3 linked regions of the Macaca fascicularis genome follow. The protein of the gene in region 3 interacts with the protein of the main gene of each other region in a pairwise test. Links are inferred from orthologs where the notes say so. Each region holds a gene or a part of one and is shown on either strand. Other genes may lie near its edges.

Evidence for each region. The genes of interacting proteins can lie anywhere in the genome.
Region 1: the proteins of CCDC136 (region 3) and ATP5PO interact in binary tests that used the Homo sapiens proteins (3 or more experiments, as listed by UniProt). The two-hybrid records come from large-scale screens. The link is inferred for Macaca fascicularis from reciprocal best matches to the Homo sapiens genes CCDC136 and ATP5PO.
Region 2: the proteins of CCDC136 (region 3) and SHFL interact in binary tests that used the Homo sapiens proteins (3 or more experiments, as listed by UniProt). The two-hybrid records come from large-scale screens. The link is inferred for Macaca fascicularis from reciprocal best matches to the Homo sapiens genes CCDC136 and SHFL.

Annotation. Positions count from the first base shown.
Region 1 is NC_088377.1:13,009,356-13,019,402, forward strand, and holds the start of ATP5PO (ATP synthase peripheral stalk subunit OSCP, mitochondrial), read left to right. Parts: upstream 1-4,359; 5' UTR 4,360-4,382; coding exon 4,383-4,418; intron 4,419-5,624; coding exon 5,625-5,675; intron 5,676-7,428; coding exon 7,429-7,539; intron 7,540-10,047. UniProt on the Homo sapiens protein: Subunit OSCP, of the mitochondrial membrane ATP synthase complex (F(1)F(0) ATP synthase or Complex V) that produces ATP from ADP in the presence of a proton gradient across the membrane which is generated by electron transport complexes of the respiratory chain.
Region 2 is NC_088393.1:10,628,620-10,638,638, forward strand, and holds the start of SHFL (shiftless antiviral inhibitor of ribosomal frameshifting protein), read left to right. Parts: upstream 1-4,331; 5' UTR 4,332-4,442; coding exon 4,443-4,463; intron 4,464-4,935; coding exon 4,936-5,059; intron 5,060-5,257; coding exon 5,258-5,307; intron 5,308-5,482; coding exon of another isoform or gene 5,483-5,621; intron 5,622-7,663; coding exon 7,664-7,702; intron 7,703-7,904; coding exon 7,905-8,054; intron 8,055-9,212; coding exon 9,213-9,316; intron 9,317-9,438; coding exon 9,439-9,593; intron 9,594-10,019.
Region 3 is NC_088377.1:170,268,164-170,277,682, reverse strand, and holds part of CCDC136 (coiled-coil domain-containing protein 136), read right to left. Parts: intron 8,177-9,519; coding exon 7,982-8,176; intron 7,485-7,981; coding exon 7,257-7,484; intron 5,829-7,256; coding exon 5,316-5,828; intron 4,920-5,315; coding exon 4,698-4,919; intron 3,005-4,697; coding exon 2,723-3,004; intron 2,001-2,722; coding exon 1,680-2,000; intron 810-1,679; coding exon of another isoform or gene 804-809; exon of another isoform or gene 177-803; coding exon of another isoform or gene 72-176; exon of another isoform or gene 1-71. UniProt on the Homo sapiens protein: May play a role in acrosome formation in spermatogenesis and in fertilization.

The DNA of each region.
Region 1 (10,047 bases), about 160 Mb from region 3:
CAAGACCAGCCTGGGCAACATGGTGAAAACCTGTGTCTACAAAATACAAAATTAGCTGGGCGTGACTGTGTGCATATGTAGTCCCAGCTATTCAGGAGGCTGAGGTGGGAGGATTGCTTGAGCCTGGGAGGCTGAGGCTGTAGTGAGCCATGATTGTGCCACTGCACTTTAGCCTGGGCAACAGAGTAAGACCCTGTCTCAAAAAATAAGCAAATAAATAAAATAAAATAGAAAAAAAAAAACATAAAAAACGGAAACCATCTCAATTATATTCAGAGTCTAGAGTTTCCCAAGTATATTTGACCCTAGAACTTTTTATTTGTATTACATCTGTTAACACCCACACTTCAGAAAACACAGGTTTTGCAGTTTAATTTCTCATAGAATATAAAGTTTATAAAGGTAGGCACTGTGTCTTGTATCCTGTTCTAGCTTCAGGGACTAGAACAGCTGGCTGCACATAATAGCTGCTCACTAAATTGTGTTAAATAATGTGCTGAATACTTTTCATTAGGCTTATTTGAAAATAGTCTCTGAAAGTTTGCAAAGTAGAGTGAAACAAGGATTTTCATGTGCTGCTACAGAAACTATAAATCGATTAAAACTTTTGAAAAGCAGCTCGGCCTCATGCATCAGAGGCTGTTAAAGTACTCACATTCTCTCACCAAGTTGTGTAAATTCTGGAAATCTATTTGGAAATTTTCCTAAATATGAAAAAAAAAAAAAATGACCGGGCGTGGTGGTGTGCACCTGTAGTCCCAGCTACTTGGGAGGCTGAGGTAGGAGGACCGCTTTAGTCCAGGAGCTCTCAGCTGTGGTGCACTATGCCGGTCAGGTGTCTATACTAAATTCAGCATCAATATGGTGACCTCCAAGGAGCAGGGGACCACAAGGTTGCCTAAGGGGGGTGAACCAGCCAAGCCAGAAACAGAGTAGGTCAAAACTACCATTTTTAGGCCGGGCATGGTAGCGCATGCCTGTAATCCCAGCACTTTGGGAGGCCCAGGCGGGCAGATCACCTGAGGTCAAGAGTTCAAGACCAGCCTGGCCAACATGGCAAAACCTCATCTCTACTAAAAATACAAAAACTAGCTGGGTGTGGTGGCACACACTTGTAATCCCAGCTACTCTAGAGGCTGAGGTAGGAGAATAGCTTGAACCGCGGAGGCAGAGGTTGCAGTGAGTTGAAATTGGGCCACTGCACTCCAGCGGGGGAGACAGAATGAGACTCCGTCTCAAAAAATAAATAAATCAATAAATGAAAATAAAAATAAAATAAAACTCCCCTGCCGATCATTAGTGGGAATCATGCCTGTGAAGAGCCACTGTATTCCAGAGCAACATAGCTGACACCATCTCTCAAAGAAAAAAAAAAAAAGAAGGCTGAGCGCGGTGGCTCATGCCTGTAATCCCAGCACTTCGGGAGGCCAAGGCGGGTGGATCACCTGAGGTCAGGAGTTCGAGACCAACCTGGCCAATATGGTGAAACCCCGTCTCTACTAAAAATACAAAAAAATTAGCCGGGTGTGGTGGCACACGCCTGTAATCCCAGCTACTTGGGAGGCTGAGGCAGAAGAATTGTTTGAACCCAGGAGGCAGAGTTTGCAGTGAGCTGAGATCACACCATTGCACTCCAGCCTGGGCAACAAGAGCGAAAGTCCATCTCAAAAAAAAAAAAAAGAAAGAAAGAAAGAAAAGAAATTTATGTCTAAATATGCTTAGGAGATTCGGTATTGTTTAAAATGGCAAAAAAAAAAAAAAAAGGAAACCATTTGAATTATGTTCAAAAATCATAGAATAATCAAGTTGCAGAATATTCACTGGATGGACTACCTGCAGCCATTAAAATGATACTTAGAAACTTTTATAATTTGGAAATAGGCTTATATTATAAGCATGAATGCATAACTCATATGTAATTTTGCATCCTTTTCTTTCTTGCATTAAAGAAAAAGGCAAAATACCAAGTTGTATAAAGATTGTTAATCTGTATGTATAACAAAAGCAAACAAAATAAAGAACTAACATAACCAGGTGTGGTGGCATGCACTTGTAATCCCAGCTACTTGAGAAGCTGAGGTGGGAAGACTGCTTGAGCCCAGGAGTTGGAGACAAGCCTGGGCAACATAGTGAGACCCTCATCTCTAAAAAAAAAAAAAAAATTTTATTAGCCAGGCTTGGTAGCATGTGTCTGTAGGCCCAACTACTGGGGAGGCTAATGTGGAAGGATTGCTTGAACCTAGGAGGTCAAGGTTGCAGTGAGTCGTGATCACACAACTGCACTCCAGCCTCGGTGACAGAGCAAGGCATTGTCTCAAAAAAAAAAAAAAAGACCAAATTAATGAGTACTACTCTGTCAGGCAATTGTTCTAAGCACTTTACATATATACTTTTTTATTTCTCCTAATGACCTATAGGCAGATACTATTATAATACCCAGTTTATAGATAAGAAAACTGAAGCACAGAGAAGTTATATAACTGGGCCAAGGAACTGATTGGGATTCAGGCCAGGGTAGTTCAGGCCACAGCCTAAACAAATGTTGAGAAACAAGACACCAAAATACTTACAACAATTGCCTCTGAGTGGAAGAAAAGAGGACAATTACATCTTTATCTTTCTCTACATTTTAAAAAGTTTTTAGGGAGTTGGGTGTGGTGGCTCACACCTCTAATCCCAGCACTTTGGGAAGCCAAGGCAGGCGGATCACTTGAGGTCAGGAGTTCGAGACCAGCCTGGCCAACATGGCAAAACCCCATCTCTACTAAAAAGAGAAAAATTAGCCAGATGTGGTTGTGTACACCTGCAGTCCCAGCTACTCGGGAGGCTGAGGCAGGAGAACCACTTGAACCCAGGAGGCAGAGGTTGTAGTGAGTTGAGATCATGCCACTGCACTACAGCCTGGGTGACAAAGTGAGACCCTGTCTCAAAAAAAAAAAAAAAAAATTGTAATAATGAGAAAACTACTCTCTAAAAGTGAAAAATAATGAATTAACGTGTTTCTATAATACATCTGAGCAGAGTACTTTTCTTTTAAGTTGATTACAGAACCCCCACTATTATAAACAGGAATACTGACCCTTGCTCTGCCAGCCAGTCTCTTCTCCAACAGACGAGAAAATTCGACTGAGTTCTATTTAGAGAGAATGGGTTGAAGATAGGTTGTTTTTATGGATGAAGAGAAACTATATCCAAGGCTAGTATCCAGTTCTCAGTTTCAATATCAAATTTGTTCAAACCCACGTTCTCCTACTTTAGGCCTGATGCTCGGCTAGCCACTCTGCCCTAGCCATAATCAAGAATCTAGGTATCAGAATCCCACCTGCCCTCACACACCAACAGCTCAGTTCTATACTCAGGTGAGATGGGTGAGAGGGGAGGGGAATGGAGGGCCACAGAGATTCTTTGCTTTTGCTTGGCCAAACTTCAGTGAGGCTTCTGAACCTTCTCGGAGGCCTATCTATACACCTCCTTGTAAAATCCAGTTTTAGCCAAACTGCTAAGTCAGTTTAGCCAGAAGCCCCAATCTTCGATAACCGATCATCTTTGATATTTGATCAGGGTCCCCATCCTTCACCATCCCCCAGGTGATGTCTGATCACCCTGACCTGTCTTCTACAAGATTCCTCTAGGTCATTTTAGCCAGAATCCCCCTTACCCCAGTTTCCTCTTAGTAATTTTCTATCCACTGACCCCCACACTGCTCCTTGGCCATAAATTCCCATTTGTCCGTGCTGCTTTCGGAGCTGAGCCCAATCTCTCCGCCCACTCCCAGACCCGGTTGCACTGGTCCTATACCCATCGCTATGGTCCTGAATAAAGTCTTCCTTACCATGCTTTAACAAGCATCATTGAATAATTTTTTATTTAACAATGGGTAGTCATGGCCCAGGTAAGAGGGACGTGGTGTCCGCTCCTGGAGCTGCAAGGCTCCTGGGGGCTTTTTGTTTTGGTTTGGTTTTGTCTTTGTGTGCAACGTGAAAAAAAGCCATTGATTCAGGCTTTAGCATGCTGGGAAGGAAGAGTCAAGAATCCAGTGACACTGGTAATAACTGTGAAATGGAACAAATACCACTATATTTATCTAAATGTAAATTTTAAAACTGGGAACAGCAAATCCATTCTACAGTGAGGGCCGCTTGGCCAGTAACAATGATTTCATTTTCACGTGCAGTTAAAGCCCTCTGGCTTCACCGCAAGGGTCCAGCCCTTACCACTGCTAAGAACTACAACTCCCAGCCGGAGGGAGGTCTTTGCGCCTGCGGCCTGACGCCCTACGCCTACACTTCCCAGAGAACCTAGCGGTTACGCTAACGTGCGCGTGCGCTCTTGCGCGCCTCTCTCTTCCCACTCGGGTTTGACCTACAGCCGCCCGGGAGAAGATGGCCGCCCCAGGAGTGTCCGGTCTCTCCCGGCAGGTGAGAGAAACATGATCCTGAGAGCCAGTGGTAGGATCCCTGCTGGGGTGACCGGTACCCAACCCCGAGCACCAGGGTGCGATGCTTCGGTTGGGGAAGTCTGGCAGTCTTCCAAGGTTATGGGACCCGGCGAGTGGGAGCGACTCAGGACGACCCAGCGTTTGTCCCCCGGGATGCCTACGGGGCGGAAGGCGCGGGGCTGTGCGTGCCGTGACCTTGGCATCCTCCGAGCACAGCCCCAAGAAGCTGCTAGCCTGAGGGGCGCAGGAGAGGGGGTCTGCCGTTTGCTGAATTCCGGGGAAGGGGCATGGCCTAGCCTCCAAATCAGCTTCCTTTGCCATTGTGGTAAAACCTGTCAGAGATCACTTACTAGTAATGCTAAGGAATATTTGTAAAACACATTTCACAGTTTTATAAATGAAATGAGGCCGAAAAGTTTAAATGAGTCTTTGACTGCTCAGCCAGTAAGTGGTAGAATTGAGATTTGAACCCACAGAATCACCCAGAAGATGGAGTTTGAAAAAATTGTATGCTCTTTGTACTGAATATCACCATGGTGCTTTACATATCATGACCCCTTCCTGGCATCTTAGGTAATTTTTACATAAGCATTACAAAGTCTTAATCCTCACAAGCAGTTTGGATAAAACACATTCCATAGCTGGAAGTATTTGAAGGTGACCTGTGATCTGTGACCTGTGCGCTTGCAGGTGATTTTTAAACTGTAAGACTGTCTCGCAGAGGTAGGGCCTCTTGTCAGATCAAACTCTGCGGCAGTACTCAAAAAATTCATCTTTATTTTCAGATAGCATTTGGATTCCGAGAAGGGTACATCTGTTGCAAATGATCTGCTCAAGGGTGTGGTAATAGGAACGCCAGAATTTTGGTTAAATATTTTTGAAACGTGCACTCCTTGGAAGTTAGTGTTTTCTCTGTCATACGGGTGTGCTAGCCTCGGTCCATTCCTAGCGAGCTAGGAGGTTAGTGAGAAGGTGATTTCCCAAGCAACTTGGGATAATCCTCGTTGGGTAAGTTTACTCCTTAGTAATAATAAGTAGCTCATCCTCATGTAACATGTGAAGATACAAAGAGACAAAACTAATGCTTTCAAGGTCATTAAAAATTTGTTGTTGATGTTGTTACTGAGTTACGTGCAGAAATCCTTCGAGTAATCTTGTTTGATCTATTTTCCTTTATTGCTTCAAGGTGCGATGTTTCAGTACCTCTGTGGTCAGACCGTTTGCCAAGCTTGTGAGGGTATGTTAATTTATATTCTTCTGTAATGATAAGCACGTGAAAGTGTTAGTCAAACAGCAGTACAGTTAGGACGTGGATTTTTGTGTAGTTACTATCTAAACCTTTCTGCACGACTTGTGGTTCCCAAAATGTGATGTGTGCGTAGGGTGTGGAAAGGAATGGTGTTGAATACTTGCTTTGTGACAGGCCCATGCATAATCTTTAAATATGAAAACTTTTTTTTCGATCATTTGTTTTTCCATTAACCCTCTAAAATAGGGAAGCTAACATTTACTTATTTTTTAATGAAAGAAACAGGTTTAACAAAATGACATGCCCAAGTTATCACAGGAAATTATTACAGGAGTTGATATTAAAATCAAGGTACCTTGGTTTCTAATGCAATTCTGTTGCAATTCTCTATGTTCCATTCTGGTTAGGAATATTCATACTCTTCACACTCTTTCTCTCCACTAGGAGAGAAAGAAGGCTCACTATTTCAGAGAGTTGCCCATCCCTTTCTTTTCAAACCGGAAGTAGTCCAGTTGACCCCGGATAAAGAGGACTATCAGTGACACATAATAAATGAAGTTCCCCAGAAGGCCCCCACAAATGATACATGACTAACAGCTGGTAACAACCCTGTTGGAACATGAAGTCTGACTCCATTTCTGTAGGTTATTTTGAAATTCTTTATTTGATTAAAGAAAGTTCCTTTGTGATCGAGAATTGAATCAACTGTCAGGAAGCAGGAACTTTTCTAAGATGTGCTGGGTCAACTATCCTACCCACACTTTTCCCCACCAAATCAACAGTGAGCCAGTCCTCCCCTTGGAAAAATTTCGTAAAGGAAAGATCATAATACCAGCCTATGTCCTTAATGAACCCACATCAGGTGGGATTTAGGAAAATAATTATCATGTCCTGTCCTCATTACCAGCCCCAAATCTCAAGTCAAATGATCAAAATCATTTTGTCCTTCATGTGAGAGCTTAAAAACCTCATAACAGTGTTCAGGAGTAACTGGTCTTCCCGTTTTACAAAAGGGGAAGCTGAAGCCCTGGGAAAATGTACCTGAGGTTACTCAGCTTAGTCCTAGAGCTGGACTGGAACTAAATCTTTCTCATCCAGGCTTGAGCTTTCCCACTACAGCCATACAGCACCACTAAGAACGTGTAGTTACACACTGATGGTAGAAGAAAAGTCTGTAGTTTACTGTGAAAAATAATTCAAGCATCAGGTTTTTTGTGAACTGCCAAAGGGCTCTGTTAAATTGAACATCGATAGGGAGGCTATGTAAGGGAAAATGTATAGTGTCAGTATGAAATGTATAAAAGTATATTTGTGTGTTTCATAAACACCTGTTTTCCTAGCTCTAACATACTCGAAACTGTCTATCAGTGTTCACAACGTCCCATACTTGAAACTAAATAGTTACTGAGTTTAAAGGAAACATAAGCTCATCTCAAAATTAAAGTACAAGTAATTGATAAAGGTAGGTAAACCTGGAAGGGACTTTAGACCCTGCTTACTAAGCCCCTCATTTTACAGATGAGGAATTGGAGGCTTAAAGATTTGAGTGACCTGACCAAGGAAACATCCCTAATTTACTTGCAAATTGCCATTTAGGGCAGCTCTTGGGTGACACATTTAAACTGTTTTGTGTTAAAACGATATATTTTTTAAAATATAAATTTTAAATTCTGCTCTTGACAGTATACTATTAACTGATTTTCCTTTTTGCTTCCTCTCCTATTTCACCTTTTCTTTAAAGCCTCCTGTTCAGGTATACGGTATTGAAGGTCGCTATGCCACGGCTCTTTATTCTGCTGCATCAAAACAGAATAAGTTGGAGCAAGTAGAAAAGGAGTTGTTGAGAGTAGCAGTAAGTAGCTTTCCTATTCATTATATATTAAGTTCCTGTTTGTATATTTTTTCCTTTGGTTGGTTGACTGCATTCCTAATGAGGTGTATCCTCCAAGAAAAAGAACTGGGAAAAAGCCATTTTCTGTAAACACGTTTTTAGTGATAATGTTGGGTTTTTGTTATTATAAAACATATAAAAAGAACAAACAGATACATATAAGGATATTAATATTAGGAACCAAGATTTGGGGCTAAGAAAAGATAGAAATGTAAAATTAAAATAGATGATAATTTAGGAAAATTGCTATTTCAGTGGAGAATTTAAAAGCTACCTTTAAAAATCTATACTTATAACTGGGCACGGTGCTCACACCTATAATCCCAGTACTTTGGGAGGCCGAGGCAGGTGGATCAGGAGTTCATGAGTTTGAGACCAGCCTGGCCAACATAGTGAAACCCCATCTCTACTAAAAACTACAAAAAATTGGCGGGGCATGGTGGTGAACACCTGTAATCCCAGCTACTCTGGAGGCTGAGGCGGGAGAATTGCTTGAACCTGGGAGGCCGAGGCTGCAGTGAGCTGAGATCGCACCATTGCACTCCAGCCTGGGTGATGGTGCAAGACTATCTCAAAAAAAAAAAAAAAAAAAAAAAAAAAAAGATTATATGCTTCTGGGCTAGGTCTTTAGAATATATTGTGATTGGGTTTTACGGAGAATTTGTTTTCATAAAACCTTTGCCTCGGGTTTTAATTGCCATATTCTATGCTTGTAGAATCAGAGGAGGCTCAGACATGTCTTACAGGTTGTTTTCATTTGGTAGAGATGCTTTGCAATTGTCAGAACCCCAGAAGTAACCATGTAGACCTTTTCATTGTTATTTTGTTCCCAAAATGTGACAGAAGAATGACAGGCTGGGGCACGCTGGGCAGCAGAGTTAGTAAAGGGGTATGGGCTTCCCAGGGGTAATAGAGGACTGACAGGCAAAGACTGTGAGGCCGCTGCAGGATGTTTGTAACTTTTTTTTAAACATGAAAAGCAGAATAAATAAACCGTATTAACAGAAGCCTACATTGTAACTCAATAGGAGAATGTCTGCTTTCATTTTCACTGAATTTTCTAGTTAACAAGTTTCTACACATTCTGTTGCTTCTTTCTTTGATTTTCTGGCTGCTACCACTGGCAGTAAGGTCTGCATTAAAAAAGGTGAAGGAGACGCAGTCTGGTATATAGCCTCTTCGGAGGAAGTTTTGTTCTTTCTTGATTTTAAGATTCTTCATTCCTTGGCCGGGCGCAGTGGCTTACACCTGTAATCCCAACACTTTGGGAGGCCGAGACGGGTAGATCATGAGGTCAGGAGATCGAGACCATCCTGGCTAACATGGTGAAACCCCATCTCTACTAAAAATACAAAAAAGCCCGGCATGGCGGCATGTGCCTGTAGTCCCAGCTGCTGGGGAGGCTGAGGCAGGAGAATGGCGTGAACCCGGGAGGCGGAGCTTGCAGTGAGCCGAGATCATGCCATTGTACTCCAGCCTGGGTAACAGAACAAGACTCTGTCTCAAAAACAAAAAAAAGATTCTTCATTCCTTAATTCATATGTCTGTAAGTTTTTATTGTTTAGGAAAAACAGTTCATAGGCCAGTTGTATAGAATAATAATTCTTATGTTCTATATTAATCATCGTGTGTATAGTCTATAAGTATTACTGTTCTGTACTGTTTATGTTTTATTCATTTTTCACTTGAGCTTCTGTTGGAACTTCCGTCTTAACAGGCAGAATAATTTTAGCTCCATATTCCTTCCTTGATCCATTTACCTCTGCAGATAATGCTTAAGGTCTTAGCTGGTGTGATAAACTCTTAATGATTCTCACAGAGCCCAGGAACCCAGCCCTGTTGTTGGAGACATTTGGAGGAAGGGCATGCAGGAACAGACGGGGTCTCACACAGGCGTTTTTGGAGGTGATGGTTATTGTCTGCTACTTGTCAGTTATGCCCATTTTAAACAGAAACAATCGTGTTTACAATGGAGAGAATGACTTGGATTGTGGGCATTAGAATGGAGTTTGTCTAAAGCCTGGAAGTCAGTCAAGACATGGAGAAAAAGGGAGGCAATTATCTGAAGACACTCTGAATATTAGCAGAGTTTTGGCATTAAGAGGGAAGGATAATGCAAGCATCATACTCACTGTCCTCTGGATGATGCAGGAGACACAGATAAACATGAAAAACTAGGTAACCCAAATTCCAGAATGCTTTCAATCTGTGTATGCCTGCATTTTTTATGGAAAAATGTCATTTCTGTGGGGTCACTCAAGTGGAAATGTTAGCATTGGATGATAGTATCTGACCAGTATCCTGGATCAGAGACAGGATTCTGGCCAGGAGCCTGGGAGGAGGTGCTAGGAGAGTAATTGAGGCATAGAGAGGTGTGTTAACTGAAGGTGCTTGACTGGAAGCTGCCATTGTTGGTTTGTTGGAACTCTGGAGCAACATGCTGGAAGCTGCACTTGGTCACTGAATGCA
Region 2 (10,019 bases), on a different chromosome or scaffold from region 3:
CAAAGTGCTGGGGTTACAAGAGTGAGCCACCACGCCCAACCGATGAGGTCTCACTATGTTGCCCAGGATGGTCTTGAAATCCTGAGCTCAAGTGATCCTCCTGCCTTGGCCTCCCAAGTGCTGAGATTACAGGCATGAGCTGCTGTGCCCAGCCAATGAGCTTTTAATGTACACAATGTGGCAGAAGTGATGCTATGTGACTTTCAGGCTAGATCATAAAAAGATACAACTTCCACCTAGCTCTCAGCTCCTAGATGGTGTGCTCGGGAGGCCAGCTCCCATGCTGGGAGTACACTCATGCCACTCAAGTATACTGGGAGGAATCGAGGCATCCCGCCAATCATAGCACCCATCTGCATGCCCTGGGAGTGAGCCACCTTGGAAGCAGATTCGCCAGCCCCTGTCAAACCTCCCGATGACCGAAGCCGTGGCCAACTCCTTAACTGCAACCTTCTGAGAGGTCCTGAGCAAAAAGCAAAGCAAACAGCCCAGCAAAGCCATTTCTCAAGTCCTGAGCCACAAAGACTACATGAAATCATAAGGATTGACCAGGTGCAGTGACTCACGCCTGAAATCCCAGCATTTTGGGAGTCCAAGGCAGCAGGATCACTTGAGCCCAGGGGTTCAAGACCAGCCTGGGCAACACAGTGAGACCCACAGCTCTACAAAAAAGTATAAAAATTAGCCAGCTACTCAGGAGGCTTAGGCAGAATTGCTTGAACCCAGGAAGCAGAGGTTGCAGTGAGTTGAAATCGTGTCACTGCACTGCAACCTAGGTGACAGAGCAAGACTCTGTCTCAAAACAAAAACAAAACAAAACAACAACAAAATAAACAAACAAACAAATTAGCCGGGTGTGGTGGCACACACCTGCAGTCCCAGCTATTCAGAAGGCCAAGGCGGGAGGATTGCTTGAGCTCGGGAGGTTGAGGCTGCAGCGGAGCTATGATTGTGCCACTGCACTCCATCCTGTCTCTTAAAAAAAAAAAAAATGCCAGCTCTAACAGACCTTTGCTCTGCATATTCTGTGCTAAAAAAAAAAAAAAATCAAAAAACAAAACGCCTAGCAGATCTGATTTACGTCAGGGCTAGCTCAGACTCTTACCTGTTTCCTTCCCACTCAGTGCCCATCTCGGCCAGTGGATGGGACATAACTATGACCTCCCTCTGCGCTGGGCAAATAGATTAGTAACTGGCAACTATGACAGGAGATTCCCTCCAAACCTTCCCACTTCCTTCAGGATAAAATCCCAGGTCCTCTGTGCAGTCTCCAGCCCCCATCCCCGCCTAGAATTCCACCGTTCAGCCACGAAGAAGCATGAACTGCTTTTGTTTGCGAATATAGTAGTCTCCAGAGTGCAGTACATACACCCTATAAACAAAGTTTTGGGGTTTAACCAGAAAACACTAGAATATCTAGATTTGGGGGGGGTTATTGTTTTTTAGTGTTTTTTTTTTAATAAGTTTTTTCTTTTCTTTCTTTCTTTCTTTCTTTCTTTTTTTTTTTTTTTTTTAAGAGACTAGGTCTTGCTATATTGCCCAGGCTGGTTTTGAACTCCTGGCCTCAAGTGATTCCCCACCTTGACCTCCCAAAGTGCTAGCATTACAGGTGTGAACCATCATACCCAGCTTCATTTATCTCTCTACATTTTTTCAAGTCACCCTGTCACCCATGCTGGAGTGCACTAGCATAAGCTCGTCTCACTGCCATGTCTCCCTCCTATATTCAAGCAATTCTGCTACCTCAGCCTCCCAAGAAGCTGGAATCACAGGCATGCACCACCATGCCCAGCTAATTTTTGTATTTTTGGTATGGATGGGGTTTCCCCATGTTGGCCAGGCTAGTCTCAAACTCCTGGCCTCAAGTGATCCGCCCGCTTCAGCCTCCCAAAGTGTTGGGATTACAGGCATGAGCCACCAAGCCCAGCCCTCATGTATATTTTTGAATCTGCAGTTTTCTGTTTTCTTTCTTTTTTTTTGAGACAGAGTTTCGCTCTTGTTGCCCAGGCTGGAGGGCAATGGCATGATTTTGGCTCACTGCAACTTCCATCTCCCAGGTTCAAGCAATTCTCCTGCCTCAGCCTCACAAGTAGCTGAGATTACAATTTTTTGTTTCCTAAAGAACATATATTTTGGCTGGGTACAGTGGCTCATGCCTGTAATCCCAGCACTTTGGAAGGCCAAAGCGGGAGGATCATGAGGTCACGGGTTCCAGACCACATGTAGTGGCCAACATAGTGAAACACCGTGTCTACTAAAAATACAAAAAATTAGTCAGTGATGGTGGCGGGCACCTGTAATCCCAGCTACTTGGGAGGCAAAGGCAGGAGAATCACTTGAACCTGGGAGGCAGAGGTTGCAGTGAGCCAAGATCATACCATTGCACTCCAGCCAGGCAACAATGTGAGACTCCGTCTCAAAAAAAAAAAAAAAAAAAGAATATATATTTCTGTAATAAAGATACTGTTATGTAACAATTTACAGAATATATTGATATAATTGTATTTGTATATAATTTAAATAATATCCTGGCTGGGCTCAGTGGCTCACACCTGTAATCCCAGCACTTTGGGAGGCAGAGGCGGGCGGATCACAAGGTCAAGAGTTCGAGACCAGCCTGACCAACATAGTGAAACCCCGTCTCTACCTAAAATACAAAAGTTAGCTAGGCGTAGTGGCGTGCACCTGTAATCCCAGCTACTTGGGAGGCTGGGGCAGCAGAATCGATTGAACCTGGGAGGCAGAGGTTGTAGTGAGACGAGATGGCACCACTGCATTCCTGGGCCACAGGGGGAGACTCTTCTCAAAAAATAAATAAATAAATAAATACAAATAAATAAATTTTTTTAAAAAATCCATCTTTGAGGCCAGGAGTTTGAGACCAGCCTGTGCAACATAGTGAGACCCCGTCTCTACAAAAAAAAAAAAAAAAAAAAAAAAAAAAAAAAAATTGAAAATTAACCAGGCATAGTGGCATATGCCAGTAATCCCAGATACTTAGGAGGCTGAGGTAGGAGGATTGTTTGAGTCCAGGAGTTCGAGGCTGCAGTGAGCCGTATTCAAACCACTGCATTCCAGCCTGGGCAACAGAGCAAAACCTTGTCTCAAAAGATAAATAAATAAATAAATATCCATCTGGGGGTGTAATTTTAACAGTTTTACCTATAGAGGTGTGCAATGGAGAAAAAAATTTAGAGTCGTTGAACACAATGCTATTTTGCCCCTCAGAGAGTATCTGGCAGTCTCTGGAGACATTTTTTGTAGTCACAACAGGGAGAGTGAGGAGCCACTGGCATCTAGCAGGCAGTGGCCAGGGATGCTGTTAAATGTCCCCCAACACACAGAACAGTCCCCCACACAAAGAACCAGGCAGCCCAAAGTGTCAAGAGTGCTGGGCTTGAGAAGCCCTTGCCCGAAAGCCCCAGACTTAGTCTTGTTTTGGGGGCTCTGCACGGCTGCCTCAACTCCCCACTCTATTCGTCCCCGAGCTAAGACCTCCAATTTCAGTGACTGTACAAAGCATCCCCTCCTCCAATGAAGTAGCCATCTCTGTGTCCCCAGGCTGGGCCAGAGCCCCACCACCTAACGGCTCCCTGATGCGCCCTGTACTGGGTTAGAACTGTCCAGCCCACGGGGTTCTTAACCATTGCAGATTCCCTGGATCCCTGAGACAGCCGGATTCTACCGGGCAACGAGAGACCAAGAATCTGTGTTTTTCTCAAGCACCGCTCCCCACAACCACACACACACTGCCTGCCCCTATCAAGGGCACACAGCAGGTGGCCCAGTGACTAGTTGAGTGCCTACTGCAAGCCAGGCGCTATTACGCGATCCACTCGGGAATCTTGGCATATACTCCACTCCATGGTGTAGACACCAGGATCCTCCCCATTTCACAGAGGGGTAAACTGAGGTTCAGAGAGGTGACCCTAGCTAGGACAGAGACTCAGGGCAGGAAAAGCGCCCAGGTCCTCATGAGCGCCAGATTCCCGGGGAAGGAGGGAGGACAGAGAGGAGGGTGATGAACTGGGGGAGCGCGCGCTGGGTGGGGGGGCGCGGGGCCTCGCCGCGGCCTTCCGATGCGGCCCCGCCCCCACGAGGGACGTGAAGACGCGGACCCCGCGCAGCGTGGGGACATGTGACCGACTGCAGAGGCCGCGCCGCCTCCCCCGCCCGAGGTCTGCGCGCTCCGCCGCAGGGTGCAGACCCGGGGCGACCGCCTGGGTTTGGGGCGCAAGAGCAGAGGCGGAGCCAGGGCGGAGCCAGCGCGCCCGGTCCCCCCTGAATCGAAAGCGAAACAGGGGCTGGGGAGGAAGGGCGGAGCCGGCCCCGAGGCACCGCCCCCTGCCCTGCGCGGCTGCTGGACCGACGGGCGCGCCCAGGTAGGGGGGCGGCTGAACCGCGCAGTGCGGACCCTCGCGGGGACCTGCGCCGCCGCCACCATGTCTCAGGAAGGTGTGGAGGTAAGAGATGGCTACGGCTGGGCCGGGGGCAGACGCGACAGACTCCGAGGAGCGGCCGAGAGGCGCGGAGGGGGCTTCGCAGTTCCTGGGGACCCCCATCCTAGAACCCCAGATCTTTACCCCTGCCTGGCGCTCACCCCCCTTGAAAAGGAAAGTGACTCCCACGTTTCCCCAGAGCGAAATGAGGCCTCTCCGAGGAAAAGCGGGGGCTGCAGGGTCAAAGGTCAGAGGCCAGAGATAACCTGGCCGCCCCCCCACCTTAGGCTGGGACGCTCGCCTCAGTCCGCGCCCTCCCCCAGCGCCATGTGGGGACTTTGGCTTTTTCCAGGAAATGCCGTAGAGGGATGAAAGGGGGGGCGGCGGAGGCCAAAACCAAGGGTCAAGTTCAGGCCGGGAGAACGGTGCCTAGAGATGGGGGAGGGACGATCGCGCTTCCCCTTCGCCCACCGGAACCCCCCTGTCCCCATCCCAGCTGGAGAAGAGCGTCCGGCGCCTCCGGGAGAAGTTTCATGGGAAGGTATCCTCCAAGAAGGCGGGGGCTCTGATGAGGAAATTCGGCAGCGACCACACAGGAGTTGGGCGCTCCATCGTGTACGGTGAGGCTGCTGGGGTCCCGGGCCTGGTGCGGAGACCGCGCGTGGGAGCGCCGAGGGGGCGTGGTCTAGGGAGAGGCGTTGAGATCACCTCCCCCGGAGGTCCCAGCCTCGGGGAGGCTCTGCATCGCGGCTCTGGGTGGCCTGGAACTCCCACAGACCCTTCAAGGGCCCTTCTCTTATACGCACTCTCCCCCGCAGGGGTAAAGCAAAAAGATGGCCAAGAACTAAGTAACGATCTGGATGCCCAGGTAACCTGTCCCCTCCCCTCGCAAAGGACCGGGTCACGGGAGGGACAGCAAGAGGGGGGACCCGACCGGTTCATGGTGACTGACACTTCTCTGAAACAGGAGGGACCAGGCATTGTCGGTCTGTAACTCATCACCCAATATCACTTTTTCACCTCTCTATCGTTTGTCCGGCCAGGGAGCCTGCAAACAGTAGGCGCTCATTATGCGCTGATTGTATTCAAAGGCGGACAGCCATGAAACTAGGCAATGAAAGGAGTCAGGATTATGGCCATCGTGGGGGGGCAGAGATCAGAGAAGACTTCCTGGAGGAGGAGGTACCAAGTCTTAAAGGATGGAGAGGAGTGAGCCCTGGGAGGGGAAAGGGAAAGAAAGGCAGGGGCCTTAGGGTGTGGGAGGGAATGGCATGAGCAAAGGCTGGGAGGTGGGGAAGGGTTGTTAGTGTCAGTCTCTAGAAAGGCTGGGATGAGCAGGGGATTGGGGAGGAGAGAGAGGGAGGGGAAGGGAACCTTTGTGTTGAATGAATGAATGAATGAATGAATGAATGAATGAATGAATGAATGGCTTTGAAGCACAGGTGCATCATGGCTACTTTGCTTCTTCGAAAGCTTTGGTGATGGGAACACTGTGGATTTCGCCTGCCTGAAAGGCTCAGTGTAGGGCTGTTACAGTATAATAGGCCTGGCGCCATGGCTCACGCCTGCGATCCCAACACTTTGGGAGGCTGAGGCGGGCGGATCACCTGAGGTCGGGAGTTCGAGACCAGCCTGACCAACATGGAGAAACCTGTCTCTACTAAAAAATACAAAATTAGCTGGGCATGGTGGCGCATGCCTGTAATCCCAGCTACTCGGGAGGCCGAGGCAGGAGAATCGCTTGAACCTGGAAGGCAGAGGTTGCAGTGAGCCAAGATCACGCCATTGCACTCCAGCCTGGGCAACAAGAGCGAAACTCTGTCTCAAAAAAAAAAAAAAGGCCAGGCGCGGTGGCTCACGCCTGTAATCCCAGCACTTTGGGAGGCCAAAGCGGGCAGATCACGAGGTCAGGAGATTAAGACCATCCTGGCTAACATGGTGAAACCCCATCTCTACTAAAAATACAAAACAACAACAACAACAACAATTAGCCAGGCGTAGTGGCAGGCGCCTGTAGTCCCAGCTACTCAGGAGGCTGAGGCAGGAGAATGGCGTAAACCCGGGAGGCAGAGCTTGCAGTGAGCCAAGATCGCGCCACTGCACTCCAGCCTGGGCAACAGAGCAAGACTCCGTCTCAAAAACAAAACAAAAAACAAAAAAACCCAGAGGATAGTAAAATATGTATCATAGTCTACATTTATACATATAAAAGTATGATAAAAATGATAGCAGAGGGGCCGGGTGCGGTGGCTCACGCCTGTAATCCCAGCATTTTGGGAGGTTGAGGCGGGCAGATCACTTGAGGTCAGGAGCTCGAGATTAGCCTGGCCAACATAGTGAAACCCCGTCTCTACTAAAAATACAAAAAATTAACTGGGCGTGGTGGTGCATGCTTGTAATCCCAGCTACTTGGGAGGCTGAGGCAGAAGAATCACTTGAACCTGGGAGGTGGAGGTTGCAGTCAGCCGAGATCACGCCATTGCACTCCAGCCTGGGCGACAAGAGTGAAACTCCATCTCAAAAATATAATAATAACAATAGCAGAGGGTAGCATTCATTTAGTATTTCCCATATGGCAAGACTCCAGGAATTGATTTATTTCATCGCCACAGTGACCCCAGGAGACAGGTCCTGTTATTTATCCCCATTTCACAGACAAACTGAGGATGAAGTCACTTGCTAGGTTCACGAAGCAAGCAGGTGGCAGCTGCGATTTGAACCCTGGCCACCTGGAGTCAGAGTCTGGGCTCTAACATGCCTGTCAGTGGGAACCCAGGAGGCAGGGAGTGGCTTGTCCAAGTCCCCACAGCTGGAAGTGATAGAGCTGGGATTCGAACCCACATCTCTCAGTCCAGATCCCCACCACTTAGCCAAGCACAACGTGGCCTCAAAGGGGCGATATTGTCACAACACCAACAAGCATGTGGCATTTGCAGGCAGGAAGTGAGTACGGGGGTCAGGCTGGCCTCACAGGCAAGCCCTCCCCTAAGCCTCAGTTTCCCCATCTGAGCAATAAGGTAACAGGTGTGCCCACCTCTCAGGGCTGCTATGAGGACAACTGAGGCCACACACCTGGCTCTCAATATGTGGGCAGTGCTCTGTGAGCTCCTGGCGAGCTAGGGGCACCCTATTCTCCTTGCGGCCGGGGCCCTCCCAACACAGCAAACAGGTGGAAAAGAGGCCTGAGCCCCATCCCAGTTTCTGCCCCTGCTATCTCCACCCAGGATCCACCAGAAGATATGAAACAGGACCGGGACATTCAGGTGAGTTGGCGGCTAGGGCTTGAGATGGGGAAGTGGGGAGGGCGACATCTGCAGGCACGGAAGGATGTCCATTAGGGCAGGAGGGGAGATATTCACTGGGGCAGGAGGAGGACTTGTCTGTAGGGAGAGGAGGGCTGATGCTTATGCTGGTGCAGAAGGGGTGACCCCCCTCCACCTCATCCCCACCTGCCCCATTCCACAGGCAGTGGCGACCTCCCTCCTGCCGCTGACACAAGCCAACCTACGCATGTTTCAACGTGCCCAGGACGACCTTATCCCTGCTGTGGACCGGCAGTTTGCCTGCTCCTCCTGCGACCACGTCTGGTGGCGCCGCGTGCCCCAGAGGAAGGAGGTAGTGACCCACAACTTAACCTTGACTGTCCCGAACTCCACTCCTGACTCCCATCCTCAGTGACTGTACCTCTGACCTAAGGATTTCCATCACTGACCTCCAAACTCAGAGCTCAGCCTTCATCTTGATCCCAACCCCTGACCTTAAATGTGAGAAGTCCAATACCTCCTTACCCCAGAGCCTGACCCTTGACCCCACAATTGAACAGCTACTACAGAAATCAAACCTGGCCAGGCGCAGTGGCTCATGGCTGCAATCTCAGTGCTTTGGGAGGCTAAGTGGGGAGGACTGCTTGAACCTAGGAGTTTGAGACCAGCCTGGGTGACAGGGTGAGACCCTGGCTCCAAAAAAATTTTTGTTTTGAAGAGATGGGGTCTCGCCCTGTCGTCCAGGCTGGAGTACAGTGGCGGGATCATATCTCACTGCAGCCTCCACCTCCTGGGCTCAGATGATCCTCCCCACTCAGCCTCCCAAGTAACTGAGACTACAGGCCTGCGCCACCACACTTGGCTAATTTTTGTATTTTGTGTGTGTGTGGAGATGGGGTTTTGCCATGTTGCCCAAGCTGGTCTCACACTCCTGAGCTCAAGCAATCTACCGCCTCAGCCTCCCAAAGTGCTGGGATTACAGGCATGAGCCACTGCGTCTGGCAAAAAAATTTTTTTAATTAGCTGGGAGTGGCAGTGTGTGCCTGTGGTCCCAACTACTCAGGAGGCTGAGGTGGGAGGATCGTTTGAGCCTAGGAGGTGGAGGCTGCAGTGAGTCATGATCACAACACTGTATTCCAGCCTGGATGACAGAGTGAGACTCTGTCTCTGAAAAAAGAAAGAAAGAAAGAAAAGAAACCAAATCTGACCTCAAAAACACAGCCCCAAATCTGGCCTCTGAATGTCCTGACCAGTAGTTCGCTTCTGGTCAATGCTTAACTAGTTCTTGCAAAAGAGGCAGGAAGCCAAGATGTGTAGTGTTTGCCAATTTCTGTGGTGTAAGTATTCCCACCATGGTCAATATGAGGCTACCCATGTGAAGTCACTGATTGAGTTGGGTTGCTCAAGCTGAGGCCAGCCACTGCAGCACACTTCTAGCCCTGACCCCAACCTCAGACACCTCTGACAATCCTTGGTCCCCTCTCTGCACGCCCCCCCCCACCACCACCAGGTATCCCGGTGCCGGAAATGCCGGAAGCGCTACGAGCCAGTGCCAGCTGACAAGATGTGGGGCCTGGCTGAGTTCCACTGCCCGAAGTGTCGGCACAACTTCCGGTGAGGGCGCTGACCCCCAGCTCCCCCTCAGCCCTGCCCCACCCCAGCCCTGCCCCTCCCTGCCCTGGCCCCACCCTGGCCCAGCCTCGCCCTCGGACCCTCACAGCCCTGCCCGCCCCCAGGGGCTGGGCACAGATGGGGTCCCCGTCCCCCTGCTACGGGTGCGGCTTCCCCGTGTATCCAACACGGATCCTCCCCCCGCGCTGGGACCGGGACCCGGATCGCCGCAGCACCCACACTCACTCCTGCTCGGCCGCCGACTGCTACAACCGGCGAGGTGAGGCTTTTCTCCTCCAACATCCTGGGCAGTCTTTGTCCCCTTCTGTGCCTTTAAGTCCCCAAATCTCCACTCAGTCCACTTCGTCTCCCACAGCAGCAGCCACTGCTTCTACGTGGCCTCCATGGCCCCCCAGTCTCCGTGGTCTTGCCCACGAGGCTCTGAGGTTTCACCCCAGTGGCCCATGCCTGAGGGTCTCCATGGCCTCTGCCCCCATGGTCTCTGGGTTTGGGGCCCCTGTTTTGTCCCCTGTAATCTCAGGTGACCCCCCATGTCCCCAGGTCTCCTGTATCTTCAACACCCCTGAATGTCCAGTTGTGCTGGTCCCCGTATATTGTGGCCTCAGCTCTTCCCTAGAGCCCCTCGTGGCCTCAGCCCCTCCCTAGAGCCCCTCGTGGCCTCAGCCCCCTCCTGCCCAAACTCTCA
Region 3 (9,519 bases):
TGCTGCCTGGGCCTTGGTTCTTTCCACCGGCAGTCTGCAGGAATTGCAAAATTGAATGGGTTAAGCAGCAGCTAGGTCCAAGTCAGGCGGTGAGTCCAGTTTTCTTTCTGTCTCATCATATACCTCTCATATCTTGTCAAGCAGGACGTATCTGCACCTAGACCTTTCTTGTGATGCTGCAGAAAGTAAACAGCTTCCTTAGTGGAGTAGTGCAGATACTTTTCCTAGGTTGCTCTAGGAAGAGCCAGTCTTCTACCAGGCCACCTGTCCCTTTGTTCTAGCCTGCTTTCCATCAAGTTTCTTAGTATTTTGGGCTCTTGTCCCTTTGATCGCCTAGGAATCTAATGATATCATTGTAAAACAACATGCACCAAAACAAACTGACAAGGGAGAAGGGCTAGTTCTTTCGCTGCAACAGTCTTCCGGAGAGAAACTGCTTTTGCAAAGTGGTAATACGCATGCCCTAGAGCTGCCTGCAAAAGACGCAGGACCCACGGGGCAAAGGGATCTCTCCATATATAGAAACATAGAATGTATTTGAAGTAGAAAAGTCAGGTCTAGCTTTAGAAATGTTGGCACCGAAGGTAAAGGCTCTGAACCAGCACATGGTGGAATATGATGAGCTCAAGGAAACATGATAGTGGGAGGGGCTGCAGTGGCTCCGACTTTTCACATCTTAGGTAATGGTCCCCTGGCACAAGGTAAGCAGAGCACTGCACACTGGATCCTTAGCCAGTGCTGAAGACCCAATTGCCGGAAATTCCAGATATCCTCAGAGTTGACTGGACAAGAGGCTTTTTTCTTTACCTCTGTTTAGAACAGAAAGAACCTGTAATGTAAGCTGAGGACTTACACAGGAAATACTCTAACTCTGTAGAGACTCTGGCCCTGAGTTAAGCCCAGGGCAAGAATTCAGTTGCTACATACCTGCAGAGATGTACCAGTTAATAAAATATGGAAGTACTTCTATATTGTTGGTAAGTTACCCCTGGCATTCTAGCATATATATCCCAGGATACCTCCACCCCAACCTCTCAGTGATCTAGCAACTGTAGGGCTAGGGATGGTCTCCTTGGACTAGTCTATGCTCCTACTGTACAGACGTGAAATATTTTCACTATCACTCTTGATCACTCCCAGGCCCCACCTTCATGTCCTGTGATACCCAGAATCCAGGGGGCGACACAAGCCTACAAAGAAGAGATTATCCCCTGACACACCCCTAACAGCGACAACAAAGGTTAAACCTAACAGGGCACCATAGGAAAACCGGACTGAGTGACTTGCCCAGGCTGACAAAAATGGCCTGAAGTAGACTTCACGCTGTCAATGTCCTTCCTGCAGTGCCGAAAGAGGGATGAGGGAACGCTCCCCACATAAGGAAGGTAACAAAGGCTACTATGTAAATGAAAGGACTCCAGGGACCCCACGTTGGTTCCCAGAAAAGGTGGTCATTGTGAGGTGGTTCCACAGCAAATGGGGCTGAGCCCGTGATTTCCTGCAGACAGACTGCTCTCGCCTCCCCCTTCTGCATCTCCACCTCCCCGAAGGGCCGTGCCTTACAGTGCGAGGCCTCCACTCCTGGAGATATCTATCCTTGGCAGGGCCACCCATTAACTCTGAGGTACCTGAGCCCAAGATCCCACTTCCCACTTGATCTAGCCTTTGGCTCCGGTTACCTTTTTACTCTCGGAAAGTCTGAGGGGGTTGTTTTCTTCAGGACTTTCAAGGGAAGAGTCAATGTCATCTTCCTCCTCTTCACTGTCTTCTTCCTTCTCCTCTTGCTCTTTGTCCTCTTCATTTTCCTCCTGATCTTCTGTGGATTTAGCTTCCCCAGGATCTGCTGGCTCAGCAACTAGCTCATCCCCACACTGCTCCTTTGCTTCCTCTTTCACTTCCTCCTTTTTTTCCTCTTTCATCTCCTCTTTCTTTTCCTCCTCTTTTGCTAGTCCATCTAATTTCCTCTGGCTGGCTTTGTAGTACAGCACCACCTCCAGACTCTGTGGGGTGGGAGTAGGGCAGGATGAGGGCTGCGTTACCTGTGAAGCTCCTACTCTCATGACAATGCTGTACTAGCTCCAGGAAACATGACTTCCAGCATGTCAGAGTGCAAGGGTGCAGCCCGGTGCTCCGGGACTGTGAGCCAATCCTCTGAGCATATGTAGAGGGCATCACACCTCACCTCTCAGGACCACTATGTCTGTTGGCCAATAAGCCATTTCAAACAGCTGCCAGAACTAAAGAGTCTTGGGTGTGCACCTAAATTGTTGCTTCCCACCCCTACAGTGACTCTTTTTTTACCCAATCCTCTTTCACTTATTAGTACACAACTACTTTGAACAAATTCCTCCCTCTTCATCTATTTGGTCCTTCTCTTGGGCATGCAACCCAGGAAGAACAGGGGCCCCAGCAAATGGGGTTGGGTGAACTGAAGGAGTTGTCCAGCCTAGGGGCTGTGGTCCTTTAGGGCTGTACCTCCCAATGTGAGTTGTCTGTGTTCAATGTGAGTTGTCTGAGTTGTCTGTGTTCCACTCTCCCCATAGCTTCACAGGAAAAGGGAGCACCCACTTTCCATTAAGATGGGAACCACTGTAGACACTTCAGAGATCCCAGAAGCTTCTCTACAAATCCCTTGCCTGGTTGAAAGGGTGGTGGAGACAATGCTTCTTCCCAGGATCTCCTCCTCCTTTCTGCTTATCTGGCTACGAAGGTTACTACTCACCTTTCTGGTCTCAAAGTCACTCTCAGAAGTATCCGAGCACGGCTTGATCACCTTTTTCATTTTAACCCCATTGGCGTTCTTGTTCATGTTCTTATTAGCATTCTTCCCCCGGGCTTCTTTGACAACAGAGGGCCTCTTCTCCCTGAGCTGGCGGAGCTCCTCCTGGCAGCACTGCAGCTGCCCCTCCAGCTGCTCTTGCACTACCAGAAGCCGCCCCTGCTCATCCATGCTAGCCTGGTATTGCAGCTGCAGTTCTCGCAGCTTGGTCTGCAGTTCTTTGATCTGTTGGTAGTGAAGGGCCAGTTACCCAGAGTTGGCTGGTTACGCAACCAGTTGGCTGATCATGCAACCAACCTCAGCCCTGCTTGGGGGTCTCAGAAATCTCCCTGCTAAAGCCCATAGGAAGAGAAAATATTCAACTGTGAAAAATGAGCCTCTCAAATAGTTTTACAAATAGCTTCTCCTAACTTGAGGCACCTGATGACGTACATCTAATAAGATGAAAAAAATGGCAGGGCGTGGTGGCTCACTTGCCATCCAGTGTAATCCCAGCACTTTGGGAGGCTGAGGTGGGCGGATCACTTGCGGTCAGGAGTTTGAGACCAGCCTGGCCAACAAGGTGAAATCCCATGTCTACTAAAAATACATTCGCTGGGCTTAGTGGAGCGCACCTGTAGTCCCAGAAACTTGGGAGGCTGAGACAGAAGAATCGCTTGAACCCAGGAGGTGGAGGTTGCAGTGAGCTGAGATCGTGCCACTGAACTCCAGCCTGGCAACAGAGTGAGACTCTGTCTCAAAAAAAAAAAAAAAAAAGAAGGTCAAAATGATTTAAATGGTGTTTTCTACTGTGACTGGGGAATAACAACAGGGCTGCTATCAATTCTGAACCTCGGGGATTTATTAGATAGAATTCTTTTTTTTGAGATGGAGTTTTGCTCTTGTTGCCCAGGCTGGAGTGCAATGGTGTGGTCTTGGCTCACTGCAAACTCCGCCTCCTGGGTTCAAGCGGTTCTCCTGCCTCAGCCTCCTGAGTACCTGGCATTACAGGCATGCGCCACCATGTCCAGCTAATTTTGTGTATTTTTAGTAGAGATGGGGTTTCTCCATGTTGGCCAAGCTGGTCTCGAACTCCTGACCTCAGGTGATCCACCCACCTTGGCCTCCCAAAGTGCTGGGTTTACAGGGGCGAGCCACCGCACCTGGCCTAGAATTCTTTTTATGGGAACTCCTACTTCATCCAACCCATCTCTCTAACAGGAACAATTACTTAAAGAACTGTGTTGTACACTCCTGAAGTGTGTACTGGGCTCCTGCACCTCACCCTGGAAACAGAGGCAAGTCACATTCTGCTCCCTGATCTCGGGTTTTGTCTTCCTTGGCTGATGGCAGAACATGACCATCCCCTCAGTAGGTACCAATACTAACCAATCTGGACCCATGTGTTCGCTGCTCTCTGAATCTCTCCCGTGTGTATACAAAGAGACCCCCATTGGACTGTGAACCCCTGGCCAGACACAAGACTTCTGTCCCATTCCTAGGGGGTGCAGAGCACTCTTCTTGGCATTGTGAGAGATCCAAAAGGAGACATGTCCCTGTCCTTGAGCTGCTTACAATCTAGTTGGTGCTCCCAGTTGGTGCACCAGGAGACAAGGCAAATGCACACAAAGTGATGAAAGAAGATTGGCAAATGCAAAAATACAGTTCTACAGAAGTGGTCTAGAACACAAAGCAAAAGAGAGAACAGAAGTGGCAAAGAGAGAAAAAGAAATCATTTGATACGTGGAATCCTGATGACCAGTAAACCCCAGCTCCTCGGGCACTTGGGAATGTCATCAGGGATGCAGCAGACTGCCCAGCCTCTGAGGTGCATGCTGTCCCTGCTTTGTCCCTCTCTCTTTGGCCTCTCTGAAGTGGCCATGACCCCTCTGGCTCCAGGGGCTGCCAGAGGAAACCCTGCCTCCCTGACAGTGGTTACCTCATTCTTGTCGTTCTGGGGGGCCACGGGCTTTTCAAGGCATTCCATGCACTCCTTGAACTCCCTTTCACAGGCATCCAGCTCTTCCTTCAGGTCTTTCTGCTTGGCCAGTAACTTTTCCATCTGCTCTTGCAGCTGGCTGTGTTCCTCCTGGCTTATCTGGTACATGGCCTGCACCGCCTGCAGCTTGATCAGCACCTTCGCAACCATTTCCTCAAAGTGCTGCAGAGGGTGGGGGAGCAACAATAGCACCCTGAGGAGCACCTAAGCTCCGCCCCACTCTGCTAGGCCCTTCCCTGGATACCAAACAATGGCCACCAGGATCCAGAGCTGCCCGCGGGGGAATACTATATTTACCCCCATTAAAGAGCACCATGGCTGTGGTGAGGAAATGGACTGAATCTTATGGGCCTCTGTCCAGACGGGGGCATCTCTCTACAAGAGGGCTGAGTGGGAGACCAGGCTGCCATGGGTAGAAGGCTTCGCTTACTTTCAGTAGTTCCCCAGGTCAGCTCTGACCCCATTCCCACACTTCTTGTCCCTTCCACTGGTGATGCATCTCTTAAAAAGACAAGAGTCCATCGTCCCCTGCCTGACCTGTCACCTGGCAACCGTTACCTCCATGTCTTCAGGCTCAGCAGGTTCCTCGTCAGTGCAGCTGCTGACAAAACTCTTCTGGCAGGTGTCAGAGCTACTGGTGCTGCCGTAACTCTTCTTATAGGTAATGCTGCTGTCGCTAGTAGTGCAGTAACTCTTTCCATAGGCCTCACTGGCACTGGTGCTGCTGTCATAGCTCTTGAGAAAGCTCTCGCTGCTGGTCTGGGTGCTGGCGTAACTCTTGTTATAGCTCTCATTGTCATCCACAGTGGTATCATAAGTCTTACGGCAGTTCTCATTGCTGGGGGCCATGCTACCATAGCTCTTCCCGTAGGACTCAAGGCTCATTTTTATAGAAGGGGACTGGACTTGAAGCAGCTGCATTTCTTCCAGGCAGAGCTGCAAGTCTGCCTGCAGTCTCTTCCGCTCCTCTAGGAGCCTCCCTTGCTCTTGCTGCAAGAGCTCCTGCTCCGCCTGACTGGCCTCATACAGCACCTGCAGGGCCTGCATCTGCTCCATGAGCAGCTTGGATTGCTGGGGGCAGGGGTGGGGAGACATTATCATTATTGTGACACTTCAGTCCTTCCAGCTGCACCTTTCCTGGTACAGATGTCTGAGAGCACACCTTAGAGAATGGCATGCCTACATTTCCACCTCACCCCGGCTTATGTCTCTGACTTAAACTACAGGTAACTGGCATGTATCAGTTTCTTGCTCATTTGGGAAAATATCCCCAGGGCAGATACTCCATAATTTCCCGGCTCCCATTTCAGCTGGTTTCTGCACTTTGGTACATCCCTGTCTCCCTGGAGCAGTCCCGAGTGGGTTTCCAGAACACCTTGGCTCCCCATCACACCCTCTTCTCAGTCAGGTATACCTGTTATCCTGACCTTCAGGCTCAGTCTCCCTGCCCACCCCTAGTTGTAAAATCAGCCTGGCCTTGAACGCGGCAATATGAAGAACTGGAATCAAAGTCTCACTATTAGTTCCTGTATCTCCTGCCCCAATTCTGAATCTGGCCTCTGGGCATGTTTCCCAGGCTCTCTGGGCCTGGCTTCTTGGCGCTGATGTCCAGGATGAGATCTGATCAGTTAAGGAAATATTTTATACCTGGTTCCCAGCTGTGTTACCCAGGCCTGCAGCCTGGACATCTGCTGCCCCTGGAATATGATCCAGCCTCACAGTGTTGACTTCTGCTACTCCCTGGTTCTCCTTGTTCAGAATAAGATCTGAATGAATAGATTCGGCCTAAACCGAAACTGTCTACCTGCCCCTCCTCACCCACGCTGAGACCTCAGAACAACTTTAGCCCCCAACCCTGAATAGAATTGTACGGTGATCTCCACCTGTGTCACCTCATCGGTATGACCCCTTGCTGGTACTTGAAAGGCATCGATTTTCTGGTCTAACCCCTGTGACCTTGCTCTGTTATTGCCACCAAAGTTCCAATGAAGATAGTGTGGTCAGTACTAAGAACCCCATGTGCTAGGAATTCTTCTCTTGGAAATGAAAGGGCCCAAATTTGCCTCACAGATAACACCAAAGGTGAACGATTTTGATAACTGAGAACCGTACTTTTCCACTCAAGAAAAAGATGACATGTTTAGAGTCAGTCCAAAGGAATCCAACTATACATCTTACTAGGAATGAGTCAAATGATCCGATGACAGATTTTGGGTCATCCCAGCTCTGCCCTGAGTGCTCACAGTGCTTCAACTGGGCACTGTGAATATCAATATGATAAAGGATAATGGCATCTAGGTGAGGTCCTCAGGCTGTATCTAAAAGCCACCTCTTAATGGAGCCTGAAAGAGGTCACAGGTGGTGAAGGGCAGGGCTTTAGCCTTATCCTTACCCCTGGCCAAACAGGCCTTCCCAACTCTGACCCTTCAGCAGTGCCCACTCTCCCTGTCATGCTGCTGTGCTCAGGAGAACTGTCTCCCTACCTCTTGCTATGGTTACCTTGTTTCGATTATATTTTGAGGACTTAGCCAATTTGGAATCATCGGGATTCTCCAGCACTTCCTGGAAATGAGACTCTTTGAAACGTCGCAGCTCTTCGTGGATCTCTAATTGTTCTTTTAATACACAGTCCTGGTTCTGTATCAGCTTCTTCTGTTCCTCCTGCATGCCTTGGTAGAGCAGCTGCAGCTCACACAGGTCTTCTAACTTGGTGAGTAGCTCCTGACTCTGAGGCGGAGTAGAAGGAAGGAGGCAAGGGATTGTGGTGGTTACACAGAAAGTCCGATGCCTCCTTGGTGCCTCATCCCTGCTGTGAACAATTCCCTGAAGAATCTCAGGGCTGGCTTCACAGAGCCCATCTGGGGACAGGGGGAGTCTTTCTATGGAGACCAGCTAAAAGTAGCAATGGTTTCTTACGTTGGGATATATTTTGTCATTTACAAAGTGGTTTCAGGTGCATTTTCTCCAGATGGACTAAATAACTAAATATAAACTGCTGCACAGATTCCAGAGTATAAAAGGTATTTTAAGATTTAAAGCCCTTATAAGAAAAACTCTAATTGGCTCTATGGAGCTTTTTGGTTTGGGGAGAGTGGTGAGAAAGTAAGGAGTCATTGGTAAGAAGAAGAAAAAGTTCAACCTCCACCCTTCTATTTTTCCCTAGTCACACAGGGAAGCTTCTCAGAGCAGCTTCCCCAGTTAGCAGCTGCCTCTGGCGGAGTTACCTTGAGTAAGAGGCCACTCTTGGGCAGTGGCAGTGTGAGCCTGTGCAGCTCTTCCTGCAGCTGGCCCTGCTCCTCCTGCATCCTCCTCTGGTCCTCCAGGAGCTCACACTGCTCCATCTGCAGCTGCCCCATCTCCTTCTGGCTGGCCTTGTACTTTTCCTGCAATTCTGTCAGTCTGGACAGCAGTGTGTCACACTGTGGGTGGGGGCGGGTGCGGAGGGGGTGGTTACTCTGTAAGGTAAGCTTCCTGGGTGGCTAACAGAGCACTTCCGCGCTCTCCTGCCTCTTGTGATTCTCTCCCTGTGCAGTCACTTTGGACTGGTCACCCCAAGCCACAATGCACCCTGGCTGTTTAGATACCGATTGGGGATCCCCCACAGGCTGGTCTTTCAGAGCAGGTTGCTCTAGACTGGTGGCTGGCCTTGCTCTAAACTTCTACCATTCCTTTCTGGGGGCAGTTTGATGGCGAATGCTATCGATGCCCCTTTCCTCTTCTCTGGCCCTTTCCTTTGGTGTATACACCATATTCCCACCCTGCTGGGAACTCTTAGCTCCTGTTATTCTCATTAACCCCAGTTGTTTTTGAATGCAATTACACTCCTTACCAATAAGGACCTAATTTCACCCTAATTTTTCCCATTTTTGCTTTCCTAATTCTCTCTTTATATCTTTAGAAAGTATGCGCTATTGCTGAATTTGGATTGAGAAGTCTAAATCATCCCATTTCCAAAAACCCAAATCTTCCAGTATCAGACAGATCTCAATGCTGTTTTATGGCTAGAGAAAAAAACAGGTGCTGTCTGCCAGCATGCTTCTCCTTTCCCATCGTTTTTCCCATTAGGGGAAGAGGTGACGAGCAAGTCACGGATCCCCTGGGCTCCTAAATTGAGTAGAAGTGGAAAAAGGAGGAAACGTGAGCCTGGATATAGAAAGGCAAAGAGACTGTTGAGGTAGCCCAAATAACCTTCCCAGTCCTCTGTCTCCTGAAGGCCTTTCCCCAGGGACAGGAACTACTGAGTTTCTGGCAGAATGTGACCAGCTCCACCATCTTTAGAGACTCTTGGGCCTTTTCTCCAACATGCTTCAACACCTTTCCATTTCCCATCAGTAATCAGGAGCTGAAAGTGCTCAACAGGATAAATGATAACGGCTTGCATTTTATACACTATGGAAAAGAAAAAAAATGAATAAGCCCTTATTTATCACTATCAGGATTTACTACTAAAAGGAAGTGAGATAAGAGTAGAATTCTCTTCCATTTAAAGAGGGCACAATTCAACCTTCAACAATTTAATTACTGGCAGGGCATGGCAGCTCATGCCTGTCATCGAAGCTTGGGAGGCCGAGGCAGGTGGATTACCTGAGGTCAGGAGTTCGAGACCAGCCTGACCAACATGGTGAAACCTCGTCTCAACTAAAAATACAAAAATTAGCCAGGCGCGGTGGCATGTGCCTGTAGTCCCAGCTACTCGGGAGGCTGAGACAGGAAAATCGCTTGAAACCAGGAGGCAGAGGCTGCAGTGAGCTGAGATCGTGTC